Linked DNA regions of Alligator mississippiensis. The protein of the gene in region 1 interacts with the protein of each later gene in a biochemical or structural test. Links are inferred from orthologs where the notes say so. Each region holds a gene or a part of one and is shown on either strand. Other genes may lie near its edges.

Region 1 (8,058 bases):
AAGTCTTAACATTTCTAGACCGGGGCTGGTAAAAGCTCCCTGACTGAATGCCCTCTAATCTGGATAGGAAAGGCTTGGTGATCAACTTACCTCACCAGCCTTGGATGTCCTCAGAGGATAGATCACTGTTGTTGGGGGTTGGGCAGCAGGAGGAGGAGACCCAAGATCAGGCAGCCAGGTGCAGGTGCAGGGCAAGAGGCTTCCTTTCCACCATCTGTAAATCACTTCCTGATTTGTAGTTAATGAATAATTGAGGTGCATGGGGAGCAGGGGAAGAACAGGCTTAAACTGAGGGGGCAGGTGAAGAGGTGAGGAACTATCTGCTCTTCCTGCTTCCTCTCCACTAAGTACTTCCTTGACTATTTGTAACTGAAAGGCAGAGAAAACAAAAGTGAATAGCTCTGATCACCTGGGAACTTACCAGACTTCTGACTCTTTTCCCTTGCAGTCCTGGCCTCCACAAACACTGCTCTGCCTATGCCTCCAGTCCTGACCTGCAGCTACCCCTACTGAAAGCTGCTCACGTGCACATTTGAATTCCAGGGTTGAAAAGAGTCCAAAGACATTTGCTGTTTCCTCACTTTAAATGTTGGAAATTAACAACATCAGATGAAATGCAGCAAGGACAAGTGCAAAGTCCTGTGTCCAGGACTGAATCATGGGCAACTGGTGCCACCTTAGGGGCATCGGGGGTGGGGGGAGGAGTGGCCATGGCACTTCATCAAGTGCTCCCAGAAGTGGCTGTGGTGCTTGCAGGGGGGTACTGGCGCTCCCACCTGCCCCCCTGCCTGCCACCTAAGCAGGGAATGTGGCCTGTCAGGGGGTCCACCAGCACTCTCAGGGGGTGCATGTGCACCCCGTGTGCGCCACCACTGGACTGAATAATTGCACATACAGACTGGGGAATGACTGGCTAGACTGCAGTGCTGCTGAGAAGGGCCTGGGGGTTACAGTGGACTATAAACTAAACATGAGCCAACGATGTGCCCTTGTTGCAAAAAAGATCACAGCCTACTAGGTTGTATTAACAGGAGTGTTATTTGCAAATCAAGGGAAGTGATTCCTCTGTTCTGTTTGGTGCTGCTGAAGCCTTCTAGATCTGGGCCCAATGCTTCAAGAAAGATGTGAACAGTTTAGAAAGAGTCCAGCACAGCAGGGGTGATGCGTAGGGGGTGCACACAGATGCACATGCACCCCCTGAGCATGGTGGTGCACCCCCTACAAAAAGGTGCAGCTCTCCGTGATTCCCTCTGGCCGCCACCAACACTGCCAGCGGCGTCTGCGGGTGGTTGCCGACCCCTGGTCAGCACTCGCCACCTCCCCCGCCACCACTGCCGACAGCACCAGCAGCGTCTGCAGGAGCTCTCCCGCTAACCACTGCCATGCTCCTGCTGCTGCCACTGTGCCCCCCCGCGCCACGGGGAGCATGCATTGTTCATGCAGCACAGGATAAGAAAAATGAGCAAGGGCCTGAGAAACATGACTTAGGGTCTTGTTACACAGTAATTTGGGCAGCTCCTGGAGCTCTTAACCCCTGGGTTGTCCCCACATGTTAACATCTTAAAGCGGTTTTAAGCACGGTTTTGTGGCTCAAAGTTATGCCACTCCAGGGCAGGATTATTTCTGATCCACACTACCCAGCTCCTAGAATCACAGAATCATAGAAGGTGAAGGTTGAAAGGGACCTCAGAAGGTCACCTAGTCCAACTCCCTGCTCAAAGCAGGACCAGCCCCAACTAGATCATCCCAGCCAAGGCTTTGTCTAGCCGGGTTTTAAAACTCCCAAGGATGGAGCTTCCACCACCTCTCTGGGTAACCTGTTCCAGTGTTTTACTACCCTCCTAGTGAGAAAATTCTTCCTAATATCTAACCTAAACTTCCCTTGCTGTGATCATTGTTGTGACTTGAGACTGTTGCTCCTTGTTCTGTTATCTGCCACTGCTGAGAACAGCCTAGCTCTATCCTCTTTTGAACCTACTTCAGGGAGTTGAAGACTGCTATTAAGTCTCCTCTAAACTAAATAAGTCAAGTTCCCCCAGTCTTTCCTCATAAGTCATGTGCCCAGCCCCCTCACCATTTTTGTTTCTATCTGCTGCACTCTCTCCAATTTGTCCTTTCTGTAGTGGAGGGCCCAAAACTGGACACAGTACTCCAGCTGTAGCCTCACCAGTGCTGAATAGAGGGGAATAAACACTTCCCTTGACCTACTGGCAACACTCCTACCAATGCAGCCCAGTATGTCGTTAGCCTTCTTGGCAACAAGGGCACACTGCTGGCTCATATTCAACTTATTGTCCACTGTAACCCTCAGGTCCTTTTCTGCAGAGCTGCTGCCCAGCCAGTCAGCCCCCAGCCTGCGCTGGTAAATGGGATTGTTCTGTCCAAAGTGCAGGACTTTGCACTTGTCCTTGTTGAACCTCATGGGATTAATGTTCCATGAAGGTGTGGCCACTCTCCACAGATGTGCTGCCCAAACTGAAGTCCTCCAGTATCCCAGGATCTCTCATACCCCTACCCATACAGCAGAATTAAAATCCTACCCTGGCTCACAAGCCCTCTTGTGGCAGCTCACAGCTACAGCTCCTAGTCCTGCCCCTGCTCACCAGGCCTCTTGTCACAGCTCCAGGCTAGCACTAATGCTGATCAACCTTTGTGTAGCTCTCACCATAAGGTGTGGCAAGGCCCTTATAAGGGAAGGCTGAAAGAGTTAGGGTTATTTAGTCTGGAGAAGAGAAGACTGTGGGTCAAGGGTGAGGGGAGCGGTTGATAACATTCTTCAAATACCTGACAGGGGATCCTAACAAGGCTGGCAATGGACTTTTTTATGGCTGTAGGGGACAGAACTAGGAGCAAAGACCTCAAACTGCAGCAGAGGAAATTTAGGTTGAAGATGAGGAGGAACTTTCTGACTATGAGGGTAGTCAAGCATTGTAACAGGCTACCTAGAGAAACGGTGGAATCTTCATCCCTGGAAATTTTTAAGAGGTTAGATGGACACTTGGCTGGGATGTTTAGTCAAGGATGATCCTGCCTTGAGCAAGGGGCTGGATTAGATGACCTCATGAGATTCCCTTCCAGCCCTACTTTCTAATATGATTCTAATGTGCCAGCAATGCAGAAGAATAAGATTACTAGGTGTAAACGATTGCAACTCAAAGTACTTTTCTGTCCCTCATTTCAGGCTATTGCCACACATTAGCCATTACACCAGGGCGTGATCTACACATTAAGTATAGCAGCAGCTACAAAACAACAGGGTCCCCTAGTGTAGATACAGCTTTGCTTGCAGGAGTTTTTCTGGCCACCAGGACTAAGCGCCTCTGCACCCAGCCTTCTGTCTCTATGCCAGGGCTATGTCAGCAGGGTAACATTGGCTACAGCATAAGATCTTCTGCTACCCTGTAGGCATCAGTGCACTGCCAGTGGACCCCTGTAACATGGGCAAAGGTTACAAGAATAAATTGAGTTCAGGAAGCTTCTAACCAACACATTTGAACTAACATAGTTTTAGATCTTTTAACCTTTTAAAGAAACATAACAGCACAGAGCTGTCCAGTTGATGGCCCATGAGAGGTTAACATGCCTCCCACGCTGGTGGGACTCTCTGGGGCAGGGCAGCATGGCAAGGAGTATGCTGCCTGCTGGATTCTGGCAAGGGGGAATTCCCTGCTGTGGGGCAGAGGTTCTTGCCCATGTGGTGGCAGCAGCAGAGCAGCTGGCACAGCAGTAGCTGGAGACTTGCATTGCTCATGTGGCAGGGGTCCCAAGGTGCCCACATGGCCCCCAGGGCATGCTGCCTGTATGGTGTGCAGCCCAGGGCCTGCAAACTGTGTGGCATGCAGGCCCTGGCTGCTGTGTATCTGGCCAGCCCAAACTTGATTGGGCCCTGGTGTAATGGCTGTGTGGCAATAGCCTGAAATGAGGGTCAGAAAAGTACTTTGAGTTGCAGTCATTTACACCTAGTAATCTTATGCTTCTGCATTGCTGGCACATTAGAATCTTATTAGAAAGTAGGGCTGGAAGGGAATCTCATGAGGTCAAACCTGGGCGGACGAGAATCTGATGGTGTTCAACGCCGATAAATGCAAGGTTCTCCACCTTGGGAAGAAAAATCCGTAGCATCCTTATAGGCTCGGCAGTGCTATGTTAGCTAACACTATGCAAGAAAGAGACTTGGGGGTCATCATTGACCACAAGATGAACATGAGCCTGCAGTGCGATGCTGCAGCTAGTAAAGCGACCAAAACACTGGCTTGCATCCATAGATGCTTCTCAAGCAAATCCCAGGATGTCATTCTCCCCTTGTACTCGGCCTTAGTGAGACCACAGCTGGAGTACTGCGTCCAGTTTTGGGCTCCACAATTCAAAAAGGATGTGGAGAAGCTTGAGAGAGTCCAGAGAACAGCCACGCGCATGATCGGAGGTCAGGGAAGCAGACCCTACGATGACAGGCTGAGAGCCCTGGGGCTCTTTAGCCTGGAAAAGCGCAGGCTCAGAGGTGATCTGATGGCCACCTATAAGTTTATCAGGAGTGACCACCAGTATGTGGGGGAACGTTTGTTCACCAGAGCGCCCCAAGGGATGACGACTAGGTTGAACGGTCATAAACTACTACAAGACCGTTTCAGGCTGGACATAAGGAAGAATTTCTTTACTGTCCAAGCCCCCAAGGTCTGGAACAGCCTGCCACCGGAGGTGGTTCAAACGCCTACATTGAACACCTTCAAGAGCAAACTGGATGCTTATCTTGCTGGGATCCTATGACCCCAGCTGACTTCCTGCCCTTTGGGCAGGGGGCTGGACTCAATGATCTTCCGAGGTCCCTTCCAGCCCTAATGTCTATGAAATCTATGAAACTTAACACATTTAGAACCACATTCAACGCTTGCGTTCAGCAATAGTGTCACTTTACTGTGTTAAGTGCTGTCTGCACTAGCATGTTAAATAGCTAAGTGATTATTAATTTGCTTCTAACACAACCTAGCCTATACAGAGCTGCAGTGCCCACACCTTCCCTTTGACAGGCTGGGGTTAGGCGCGTAGCCCTGAACTTCTTGTTCCACCCCTGAATGGTTTCACTTGGCTCTACCCTCAGAACAAAAGCATTCCTTGTGCTGCAGCCATAGCACTCTATTTCAAAAGTCACCAGGTACCAAGTCTTTACTCCCAGGCAGAAGGGTTGTACCGTGGGGGGGAGCTGTCTCCTCTCCATTTCCTGGGACCAGGCTCAGGCAGAATGCCCTCACAGCAGAGCTACAGCAGGGCAGGACTGCTGAGGGAGGAGCAGGAAAGCAAACCTCCCTTCTGCCTCATCATCACCCATTGGAAACAGCTTAGGACACAGCCCTGGGACTCAATGGGACCACTCTTAAAACAACTTTTATTCACAAGCAGAAGCAGCACACTGTCTCATGCAGGCACGTAAAACACAACGCCGCAGACACACAAAGAAGCTTCTGAGCTTCCGAGGCACTGGGGGCTCCTGGGGCCCCACCTGCAGCTGGACAACCGCAGCCCGACCGGGATGCCAGGAGCCAGTGCCCTCATACTCAGCTGGAGCTGGACAGGGTCCCAGCTTCATGAGGCTGCCACCCCACCTGTCCCCGACCCATGCGGAGGCAGCGTCATGGGTGGCAGGAACATGGCTTTCAGCTTCCCAGACATGCTGGCGATCTCTGGGTCCTGAGATTCATAGGATTTTATCAGCCGGGCAAACTTCAGGACCCCTGAGAGACAGAGAGAGAAGGGGGTGGGGGGAGACAGAGCTGAGGGGCCAGCCCTCTGCCAGGCCGCCATTCACCAGGCCCAGCGGCAGCCGGGTGCCCCTGGTGACGCGGGATAGCGGGCAGGGGCTGACCCCACCTTCCCCGTCGCTGCTGAAGCCGTAGGCTTTGATGACGTCCTGCTGGATCTGCGTGGCCACGGGCAGCAGGAACTGCAGCATCTTGCCCATGTCGTTGCAGGCATTGTCCCGCGCCTCATCCAGGCGCTGCGCGTTCTCCGGGGCGCCGAACGCCTTGAGCACCTCGGCCAGCACCACTGCGGGCAGGGCACAGGCGTGGGGGGCGGCTCGGCACCCAGCAGCCCCGCCGCCACTGCCCGCCCCCGAGCGAGGGGACGGGAGATGCTCACCTTTGGCTTGCTCCGCGCTCAGCGGCGCCGCCGAGGCCGGGCCCGAGGCCGCCATGGGGCGCTGCAGGCTGGACATGCAGGCAGGGCGCGGGCTCCTCAGGCACCTACCGCCGCCTGCAGGGGCGGAGGAGCCACTGCCAGGTCGGAGCACAGCGCTCGGATCAATAAAGCCCCCGCGCCGTAACCCCTCCCAAAATCCACTACCTTTGTACGCGCTGGGGCCCCTCGCTACGCGAGGGACTGCTGGACAAATACTAAAAGAGCTGAAATCACTGCCCAGTGTGTACAACCCCCCGAACCCCCCACCCAGCCCGAGTATCGCCCAGGTTAGGGTGACTCCGGCTGTGAGTCGCAAACCCACTCCGCAGGTTCGCGGAAGGCTCCTGAAACGCAGCCGCCGCTCCCGGGAAATGTCCGCAGCGCCGCGGCGGCTCCCCGCGCCCCCCCGCCTCGCTGGCGCCGCGGCGCTCGGCTTCCAGCCCGCGCTCGGGCGAGTTCGCCGGCATGCAAATGAGCCGCCTTCCCATTGGAGCAGGGGCCCGAAGCTCCACCCCCGGCCTGTCCGCGCCCTGCAGGTTTCGGCAGCACTGGCTGGAGGCCCCGCCCCCTGCCCCTACCTCCCAGTCCAGGTGCGGCGGTGCACGCTCCTGGCCTCTCTGGCCTGGCCTTGCAGCTGGGGACTCACGCGCCCCCATCAATAGCACGGGCCTAGTGCTGGGGAGGGCGCCACAGGGGGCTCTGTGCCTCATCACCAGCTCACTCCACCTCCTGCCAGGCAGGGCAGAGGGGGCACTGCCCTTCATGCCTCTGCGTGCCTCGCTTGCTGCCAGGGCCCCCAGGCACTTAAATGAAAACCACAGAGTCCGTTTCTGGAAGGGTTTCATTTTGTTTGTAAGAGCTTCATATATATATTTTATATATAAATTATTAGAATGTGTGTTCGGGGTTCTGAGCGCATGGAGGACTTCATTGGGGTGTTTCCCCAGAGCTCTCTTTCTTGTTTTTCCTTTTCTCTTTTTAATGTTTTAAGTAAATATATATATATATATTTATATATATATATATATATGCATGTGTGTGTGCGGATATATATAATGTGTGGGTGTGTATGTGTGTACATATATATACACACACACGTACATATACACACACACACTCACACAGACAGAGATATACAACTGTGAGATCAGACACGCACGTGGGGACTGGGAAGTCACACATTGCTACGCAAAACTGCCACGTCTAATGGGATGTGCATGGATTAAAAGTACATCAACTGGAATAAGAGAGGGGAAAGAGGCAGCCACCATCTTGAACACAGTCCCATGGTGCTTTGCACCTGCTGGCCATACCTGTTCCCTTGAGGTGGGGGAAAACACAGCCACCATCTTGAAAACAGTCCCATGGTGCTTTGCACCTCATAGCCAGGCCAGTCCCTCAGGGGTTGGGTGGGAAAGTAGAAGTGGCCATTTGAAGAGTTCCAATAGTGCTTTGCGTCTCTTTGCCATGTTCATTCCCAAAGTGGGTTCGGAGAGTAGGAAGCCACATTGGCCAGTTTCCAAAAGTCCCATGATGCTTTGCATCTCTAGGCCATATCTCACATCCAAAATAGCAGGGTGGGAGGCATTTTGAAAAAAAGTTCACATCAGGTTCTGAGGGTCTGCCTCTTGGCCATATCTGCTCATGCAGGGAAGCAGAAAAGGCTACCACCACGTATAGAAAGGTCCCATCATACTTCATACTTTTGTTTTTTTTATTAGGTACAACCACTCTCTCAAAAGAGATTCTGGAACAGCAGCCATTTTGAATCCCCACAATTCCTTGTACTTCAAGCTCTCTGTCACATTAACTTTGTCTTTCTCAGTGCCCCTCTTGAAGTCATGCCATGGTTCCAAACATTTTTTAGGCATCTCACTCCCTCCCCAC
Region 2 (8,117 bases), on another chromosome or scaffold:
ATTAACTTCAGGGTAGACACGCCTGGCTGAAGTATTGAAGGCACAGTCAAGACTTTCAAGAAAGCTAGCATTTGTTTTATGAATCTAAGTGAGAGATGTACACTTAAGTGTAATGGCTGCAGGACTAATGCCACTCTATTTTGACTATGTTTTGCCTTGTATGCTTTCTGTATTTATTCAACTTTAAATATAATCTAGCAATTCAGTGCACGTTCCAATACTTATCTTTATTTTAATTTTTGCTTTGATCTTAAACTGAATAACTAAGCACTAGCCTAGCATGTCGGTAAAGCTTTGCATTTCTCTTTAACCGGAGAAAAATGTGTGTTGTGCTCTTTGGGATGACGTGCCACATCATCTGCACCACCCACCCTTTTCTAAATCCTGGATCCATCTGTTCTGCGTGAGTCTGTGTGTGTATGTTTATGTGTTTATGTATCTGTCTGTGTGTGTTTTTCTGCGTATGTGTACATGTCTGTGTGTGTTTATGTTTGCATATGTGTGTGTGTATGTTTGTGTATATGTATGTGTGTCTGTGTGTGTATTTTGTGTGCTTCAGGGGTATGGGTTATAGCCGTGTTGGTCTAAGGGTAGTTTCCTCAGCCTGATGGAAGGGTGTTTGTACATGAAAGCTTGCAAAGAAGATTTTTTTCCAACCATTTTAGTTGGTCTAATAAAAGATATTGGATTTACCCATAGAACCTCGTCTGTATTTTGTGTGCACGTTTACATTTGTATGTGTGTTTGTGTGGATTCATAGATTCATAGATTCATAGATGTTAGGGTCGGAAGGGACCTCAATAGATCATCGAGTCCGACCCCCTGCATAAGCAGGAAAGAGTGTTGGGTCTAGATGACCTCAGCTAGATGCTCATCTAACCTCCTCTTGAAGACCCCCAGGGTAGGGGAGAGCACCACCTCCCTTGGGAGCCCATTCCTCCCTGCCCACTCTAACTGTGAAGAAGTTCTTCCTAATGTGCAATCTAAATCTGCTCTCTGCTAGCTTGTGGCCATTATTTCTTGTAACCCCCGGGGGTGCCTTGGTGAATAAATACTCACTAATTCCCTTCTGTGCCCCCGTGATGAACTTACAGGCAGCCACAAGGTCGCCTCTCAACCTTCTCTTGCGGAGGCTGAAAGGATCCAGTTTCTCTAGTCTCTCCTCGTAGGGCTTGGTCTGCAGGCCCTTAACCATATGAGTGGCCCTTCTCTGGACCCTCTCCAGGTTATCCGCATCCCTCTTGAATTGCGGCTCCCAGAATTGCACGCAGTACTCCAACTGCGGTCTGACCAGCGCCCGATAGAGGGGAAGTATCACCTCCTTGGACCTATTCGTCATGCATCTGCTGATGCACGATAAAGTGCCATTGGCTTTTCTGATGGCTTTGTCACACTGCCGACTCATGTTCATCTTGGAGTCCACTAGGACTCCAAGATCCCTTTCCACTTCCGTGCTACTCAGGAGGTCATTCCCTAGGCTGTAGGTGTGCTGGACATTCTTCCTCCCTATGTGCAGCACTTTGCATTTCTCCTTGTTGAACTGCATTCTGTTGTTTTCTGCCCACTTGTCCAACCTGTCCAGATCTGCTTGCAGCTGTTCCCACATCTCCCCATAGCTTTGTGTCATCTGCAAACTTGGACAGAGTACATTTCACTCCCTCATCCAAGTCACTGATGAAGACATTAAAGAGTATCAGTCCAAGGACCGAGCCCTGCGGGATCCCACTGCCCACACCCTTCCAGGTCGAAACCGACCCATCCACCACGACTCTCTGGGTGCGACCCTCCAGCCAATTCGCCACCCACCCGACTGTGTAGTCATCCAAGTCACAGCCTCTTAACTTGTTCACCAGTATGGGGTGGGATACCGTATCGAAGGCCTTCCTGAAGTCTAAGTATACGACATCCACCGCTCCTCCTGTGTCCAGGCGTTTCGTAACCTGGTCATAAAAAGAAACTAGATTGGTCAGGCATGATCTGCCTGCCACGAACCCATGCTGATTTCCCCTCAGCATAATTTGTCCTGCCGGGCTCTCACAAATGTGAGCCTTGATAATTTTTTCAAAGACTTTGCCAAGGATGGAGGTGAGACTGACAGGTCTATAGTTGCCCGGGTCCTCCTTCCTCCCCTTTTTGAAAATGGGGACCACGTTGGCCCTTTTCCAGTCCTGCGGGACTTGGCCCGTGCGCCACGAGCTTTCAAATATTCCCGCCAGTGGCTCTGCAATGATGTCGGCCAGTGCCTTCAGCACCCTTGGATGGAGCTCATCCGGGCCTGCTGACTTAAAGGCATCCAGTTCTTCCAAATGACTCTGTACCATTTCAGGGTCTACGCATGGAAGTCTGGCGCCTTGCTGTTGCCTCTCTACAACCCCAGTGAGAGACTTGTCGTGCCCCTCACTTAGGAACACTGAGGCAAAGAACTCGCTGAGGAGTTCAGCTTTGTCCCCCCTGTCCGTCACCAATTGTTTCTGCCCATTTAGCAGGGGTCCTATTCCTCCCTGGGCCTTCCTTTTACTACCTATATATCTAAAAAACAATTTCTTGTTGTCTTTTACTTGGGATGCCATCCTCAGCTCCATGGTAGCTTTGGCCCGTCTAACTGCCTCCCTACAAGCGCAAGCAGAGGAGGTATATTCGTCTTTGGTGATCTCTCCCTGTTTCCACTTTTTATGTGCTCCCCTTTTGTCCCTTAGGCTGCCCTGGATTTCTCTGGTCAGCCAGGGAAGCCTCCTGGCCCCTTTCCCTCTTTTGCCTCGCTCGGGGATCGTCTTGCTTTGTGCCCGAAGGATCGTTTCCTTAAGGCACAGCCACCCTTCTTGGGCTCCCATCTCTTCAAATCTCCTACTCTGCAGTGCGTCCTTGACTAATCGCCTGAGTTCATTGAAATCAGCTTTCCTAAAGTCTAGCACTTTCACCCTACTAGTTACCTTACCCACTCGCCGTCTTATGGTGAATTCTATTATTAGGTGATCACTGTCCCCCAGATGGCTACCGATCTGGAGGTCCGCTATCATGTCATCTCCCGTTGCCAATACCAGATCCAGTATGGCATTCCCCCTAGTGGGACCATGTACCTCCTGAGTCAGGTGGAGGTCCTATACACAGGTTAGAAACCTGCGTGAGCGGTGGGACTTTGCTGTCTGTGACTCCCAGCAGATGTCAGGGTAGTTTAGGTCCCCCATGACTACTGCCTCTTTAGCTTTTATGGTCTCCGAGATTTGCCTCAGGAGCCCTGAATCTCTTTCTTCCCCTTGATGTGGGGGTCTGTAGCAGACCCCTACCACCAAATCTCTTTCTCCTTGCCCCCCATGTAGCCTAACCCACAATCCTTCTACTTCCTCAACCTCGGATTCTGTCTTGATGAGGGTCGATGTATATTGCTCATTGACATAGAGCACAACCCCTCCCCCTTTCTTCCCCACCCTGTCCTTTCTGTACAATCTATAGCCCTCAATATGTACCGCCCAGTCATGGGATGAATCCCACCAGGTTTCTGTTAGCCCTACTAAGTCAAGGTGTTTAGTGCAAGCAGGAGCACTAATTCATCCTGCTTGTTTCCCATGCTCCTAGCATTAGTATATAGGCACTTGAGCCCTGCGACTGGTGCCTTTGCTGCCCCCCCGCTCCGAGTCCCAAGGGGCCCTTTGATTCTTACCTTCTCGTTTCTTACCTGTGCCGTAGTGCTGGCCTCCCCATGGTTTTCAGGTTCCCAATGCTCTCTTTCTTCAGGCTGGGCTGTCCTTGTGGATGTATGCCTCTGTGTGTATGCTTATGTGTATATGTCTCTGTGTGTGTATGTATGTCTGTGTGTGCATTTATGTGTGTGTACATGTGTCTGTGGGTATTTATGTTTGTGTGTGTATGTGTGTATGTATGTGTACAGGCAGTCCTCAGACTTACGACATAATTGGTTCCTGAAAACTGCATCCTAAGTCGAAATGTTGTAACTCGGAACCGTTTTTCCCAAAGGAAACATTATAAACAGGGATTCGTTCCTCAGCCAAGGCCTGATACTCTGTTTTCACTAAAAATACCCCAAAATTTTGTACTTGATCAATTATAGATGAGTGATATAGCTACATTAATGTATTTATATTGTAAATAGCAATCAGATTGATTTGGAAGGACTTCTTTGAGGTGACTTTGCTGGACTTTTTGAAGGGTTCTTGGCTGGAGTCTTCTCAGGAGTCTTGGCTGCAGGTTTTTCTGGAGTCTTGTCTGCTTTCCTAAAGAAAGTGTCCAAGGAAGTTTGGACAGATGTTCTCCAGGGAGATGGATGACGCAGCAAACTGGTTCACTGATGTGGCATCGAGTTGGATCAAGCATTGTAAAGTCAAAACTGACATCAGAAAATTGAAACAGGGTGTCAATTTATAAATGTTGTCAGTGCAAAACGTGGTAACTCGAAACATTGCAAGTCGAGGACTGCCTGTATGTCTGTGTGTATATGTGCGGTGTGTGAGTGTATATGTAGATGTGTGTATGTATATGCATGTGTGTATGTATGTGCATGCGTGTGTATATGTGTCTGTATGTGTTTGTGTATGCATGTGTGTTTGTGTATGTAGATGTGTGTATGTATGCGTTTCTGTGTACGCATGTGTGTGGTTGTATGTGTACATGCGTGTATGTATGTGTACGCATGTGTGTAAGTATGTGTGTGTCCAATGTGCGTGTTTGTGTGTATGTATGTGCATGTGTTTGTGTGTATATGGGTATGTTATTGTGCATATGTGTGCGTCTGTGTGCGCACAGGTCCGTGCGCGAGTCCCTGGCACGCTTCTCCCGGCGCGCCCAGGACGCAGGCAGCACCCCGGGGTGCCGCCACCCCCGGCGCCGCAGCCCCGCGCCCTTCCGCAGGCCGGGGCCTGGCCGGACCGTGCCCAGGAGGAAGTGTGCGAGCCGCCGCCCGCCTGGAGGAAGTGGCCGCGGCTGCGAAACTAGGAAGCCGCGGCTCCCGGCGCCCTGAGCGCGGGGTCGGGACGCAGCGGCAGGATCCTCGCCGAGCCCCGCGCCCGCCTCAGCCGAGCCCGCGTCGGACACTCCCGCGCCCCGCGCCCAGGTAAGAGCGGGGCAGGGGGAAGCAGGGAGCGCCAACCCCCAGAGCATTGTGGAGGGCCGGGCGGGCTCCCCGCTGCACCCAAACCCATGCCGGCGGCTCGGGGGAGACCTGGGCTCCTCCAGACAGCCGGGCCGGTTCATTCGTGCCGCTCCCCGCCCCGCCCAGGGCTCCTTGAGGGGACTCTGCCCAGCCCTCCCCATGTCCTGAGGTGTGCGTCGCTTGTCTAGAGGGAAAGGCATCTAAAACTCTTGAGAAAGAGGTGATATGTTTTATTAGACTAACTAGAGAGCTGCAAAAACAATTTTTTTTTCATGCTCTGGCCACACACCAGGGACCCCCAATGGCAACATTGCAGCCGCTCTCTCTTTCTCCCTCCCCCAAGCCTCTCAGAGGGTTCAGCGCCCTTCGGAGGCACCATTTCAGTGCCTGTCGCCCACCAAACTTGCCAAAGTCCCTCCATGATGCCGCCAATTCTGACCCTCCGCCACAGATACACCTCCAAGTCACCTACCCTCCAAGTCTGCCTTCTGCCCAGCTTCAGGCTTCCTACCCTCTCAACAAGCCTTGCACCCCATTATTTTTCAGGTAACATTTGAGGGGAAAAAATGTTGGGAAAATAATAGGGAGAGAATCCACAGGGATCCTTCGACCAAATCAAAACCGTACGGTGATTCAGCGAACGCAGTAGTGACATTGGGACAAGCGAACAGGCCAAAACCACATGAGATGAAGTCCATGGAGAAGGAGATGCAGGTTAGGAAGGCACACGCAAAAACAGAAAATGCACCCATGGGTTTGAAAACAAAACACTTTAAAAAGCTGTTTTGAAACTCTGGGCAATGAAATGAGCATGGAAGCAAATGAGTGCATCTGTCCTCTCTGCAAACAAAACAAGGTTCAGAGCTTGCAGGGGTGAGGGGTGATTGCAATGTGCCGGTTAGCTCCCTTGAAGCCTAACAAAAGGTCATTAGTTACATTTTGTTTCTTTTTCTTTCTTTTTTTTTAGCAAACTTCCTTAATTTTTTTCCAAGAAAGACTAGAATAGTGTTAGAGGTGACGAAACACATTAGATACAAGAGGCCTAAATCACTATACATACATATATATATATATATATATATATATATATAAACAAATTTTGGTAACACCTTTGATAGAGAGCCTTATGCTGACATCAAACAAGGAGTGACACCAGGAAGAGCACACACCAACTGCTGCAGCTTCCTTAGCCTGACGAAGGGTTTTTGAACCCGAAAGCTTGCTTAATAACTATTCTCCAACCATTTGGGTCGGTCTAATAAAAGATATCAAATTCACCCAAGGAACCTTGTCTGCCTATGTCCTTAGACCAACAAGGCTACAACCCGAACCCCTGCAATGTTATTTCAGGACACTTGAGCATGGTGACATCATCTTTTGGGCCCAGCCTAGCAGTGCTTCTTAGACACAGCTTGTACTGACTCCACTGGGAATAAGATCAAGCCCAATGTCATATTCCTTAATTAGGCTACTTATAGGTAGATTTTTTTTTAAAGAAAAAAACTACCACTTGTAAGATTATATTTTTCCCCTCATTCAAGGAGCCATTTACATGATCATTTGTAATTGGGGTTAGTAATCTTTATTTTGGGCATTCTCCCACAAGCCATACACAGAACACTTGTATGTTCTGGACCTTTGGGGCCTGATTTTGTGATGTGGCCATTAGAGCAGACCCCATAGTCAGCTCAAGCTCTGAAATAAAGGGCCAGAAACTGTTGCAGCCCAAAAGCACTTTTAGCGGGTACTTTTACAGGAACTGTAACAACTTCTCCTTCTCAGCCCTTTGTTGAGCTTGAGACCGATAAAGACAGAAATAAGGAAGTTTGAGACATCAGTATATTTATATTTTGACGGTTTTCTTCGGGGGGGAGAGGGGAGTGGCTTGGAGAGAAGCCTTATGAATATTTAAAACAACTTGGAATAAAAGATTTAAAACCAGTTTAGGTTTATCAAAATTGCTGAACTAATTAAAATAAATATCTACCGCAGTTTTGAACTGAGTTGGAAGAACTTCTAAAATCCCAAATTGTACTTCATAAACCTTTCAGGCTTTGTTTTTCCTAAAATAGTAGTAATGTCCATGAAATCAAAGAGGTAAATAGATATTCTCTGTTACCTTTCTATTTTCTAGCCGTTGTGGTTCTGTTGATGTAGCTGAATTAAAAATTTGATCTAATGTCTTGAAAAACCAACTGAAAGTTATTTTGGGGAACAGCTAGCAGGTGTTTTTAAAAAGTTACTCTGGTCCCAAAATAACTTTTTTTTTTAAGACTGGTATGTAAAGTTTCACTTGAAAAAAGTTTAAACGTGTAAATTGAATAACACGAGAGTTACATGGACAGTTTTTAATCCCATCTTTTTTTCTTTCGATTTGCTATATAAGTGGTCCAAGCTTTCAAAGTCTGTGGCCAAACTGTCGTTGAAGTCAAAGGGATCATGCTCTTCATTTTTAAAGGGGAGATTACATTTCCTTTTCTTTCCTAACACTCGCACAATATCCTGTACTGAGACTAGGACCTTTGCAGAGGTATGAAGCAATCAGCAGGGAGGAACATACTGGATTTCATTTATGTTCTAAAATGTTATACTTTTATTTCATTTGTCTTCATTTGCTTTAAAGTCCTGATTCAAAATCTGAAGACATTGGAAAGACTAACATTGATTTCATGAGGATTTGGTTTGCAAAGGACAGGTGGACTGTCTAGCTCAAATTCTCCCTTGCCTTTCACTTATTCAAGCCACAATAATTGACAGCTTTGGCCCTTTGTATATAAATAAACAGTAATGGAAATTTAGACCCATTTCTTTTCTCTCCTCTAATGAAACATGGCAAAGAACAGCTCTTTATGGTGAAGGATTTTACTGAAACCCTTTATGCACTAAAATGCTGTGCAACTTTGGGGCCAAAGCAGCCACACTTCTCAAGTTTGAGTCTTAAATGCCTTTCTTATCAGGTCAAGATTTACTGGGTCTTTATTCAATTTAGGCCAGATTCTACAATCCCCTATTT

What was found.
Region 2: of the proteins of PTPN6 (region 1) and SYK, one has a biochemical effect on the other in vitro, tested with the Homo sapiens proteins (2 studies listed by BioGRID). The link is inferred for Alligator mississippiensis from reciprocal best matches to the Homo sapiens genes PTPN6 and SYK.

The regions. Positions count from the first base shown.
Region 1 is NC_081824.1:244,116,699-244,124,756, reverse strand, and holds the start of PTPN6 (tyrosine-protein phosphatase non-receptor type 6), read right to left. Parts: upstream 3,077-8,058; 5' UTR 91-3,076; intron 1-90. Other genes in the region: C1H12orf57 (protein C10), read right to left, coding at 5,578-5,726, 5,863-6,039, 6,133-6,246, 6,494-6,638. UniProt on the Homo sapiens protein: Tyrosine phosphatase enzyme that plays important roles in controlling immune signaling pathways and fundamental physiological processes such as hematopoiesis.
Region 2 is NC_081826.1:212,111,984-212,120,100, forward strand, and holds the start of SYK (tyrosine-protein kinase SYK), read left to right. Parts: upstream 1-4,901; 5' UTR 4,902-5,065; intron 5,066-8,117. UniProt on the Homo sapiens protein: Non-receptor tyrosine kinase which mediates signal transduction downstream of a variety of transmembrane receptors including classical immunoreceptors like the B-cell receptor (BCR).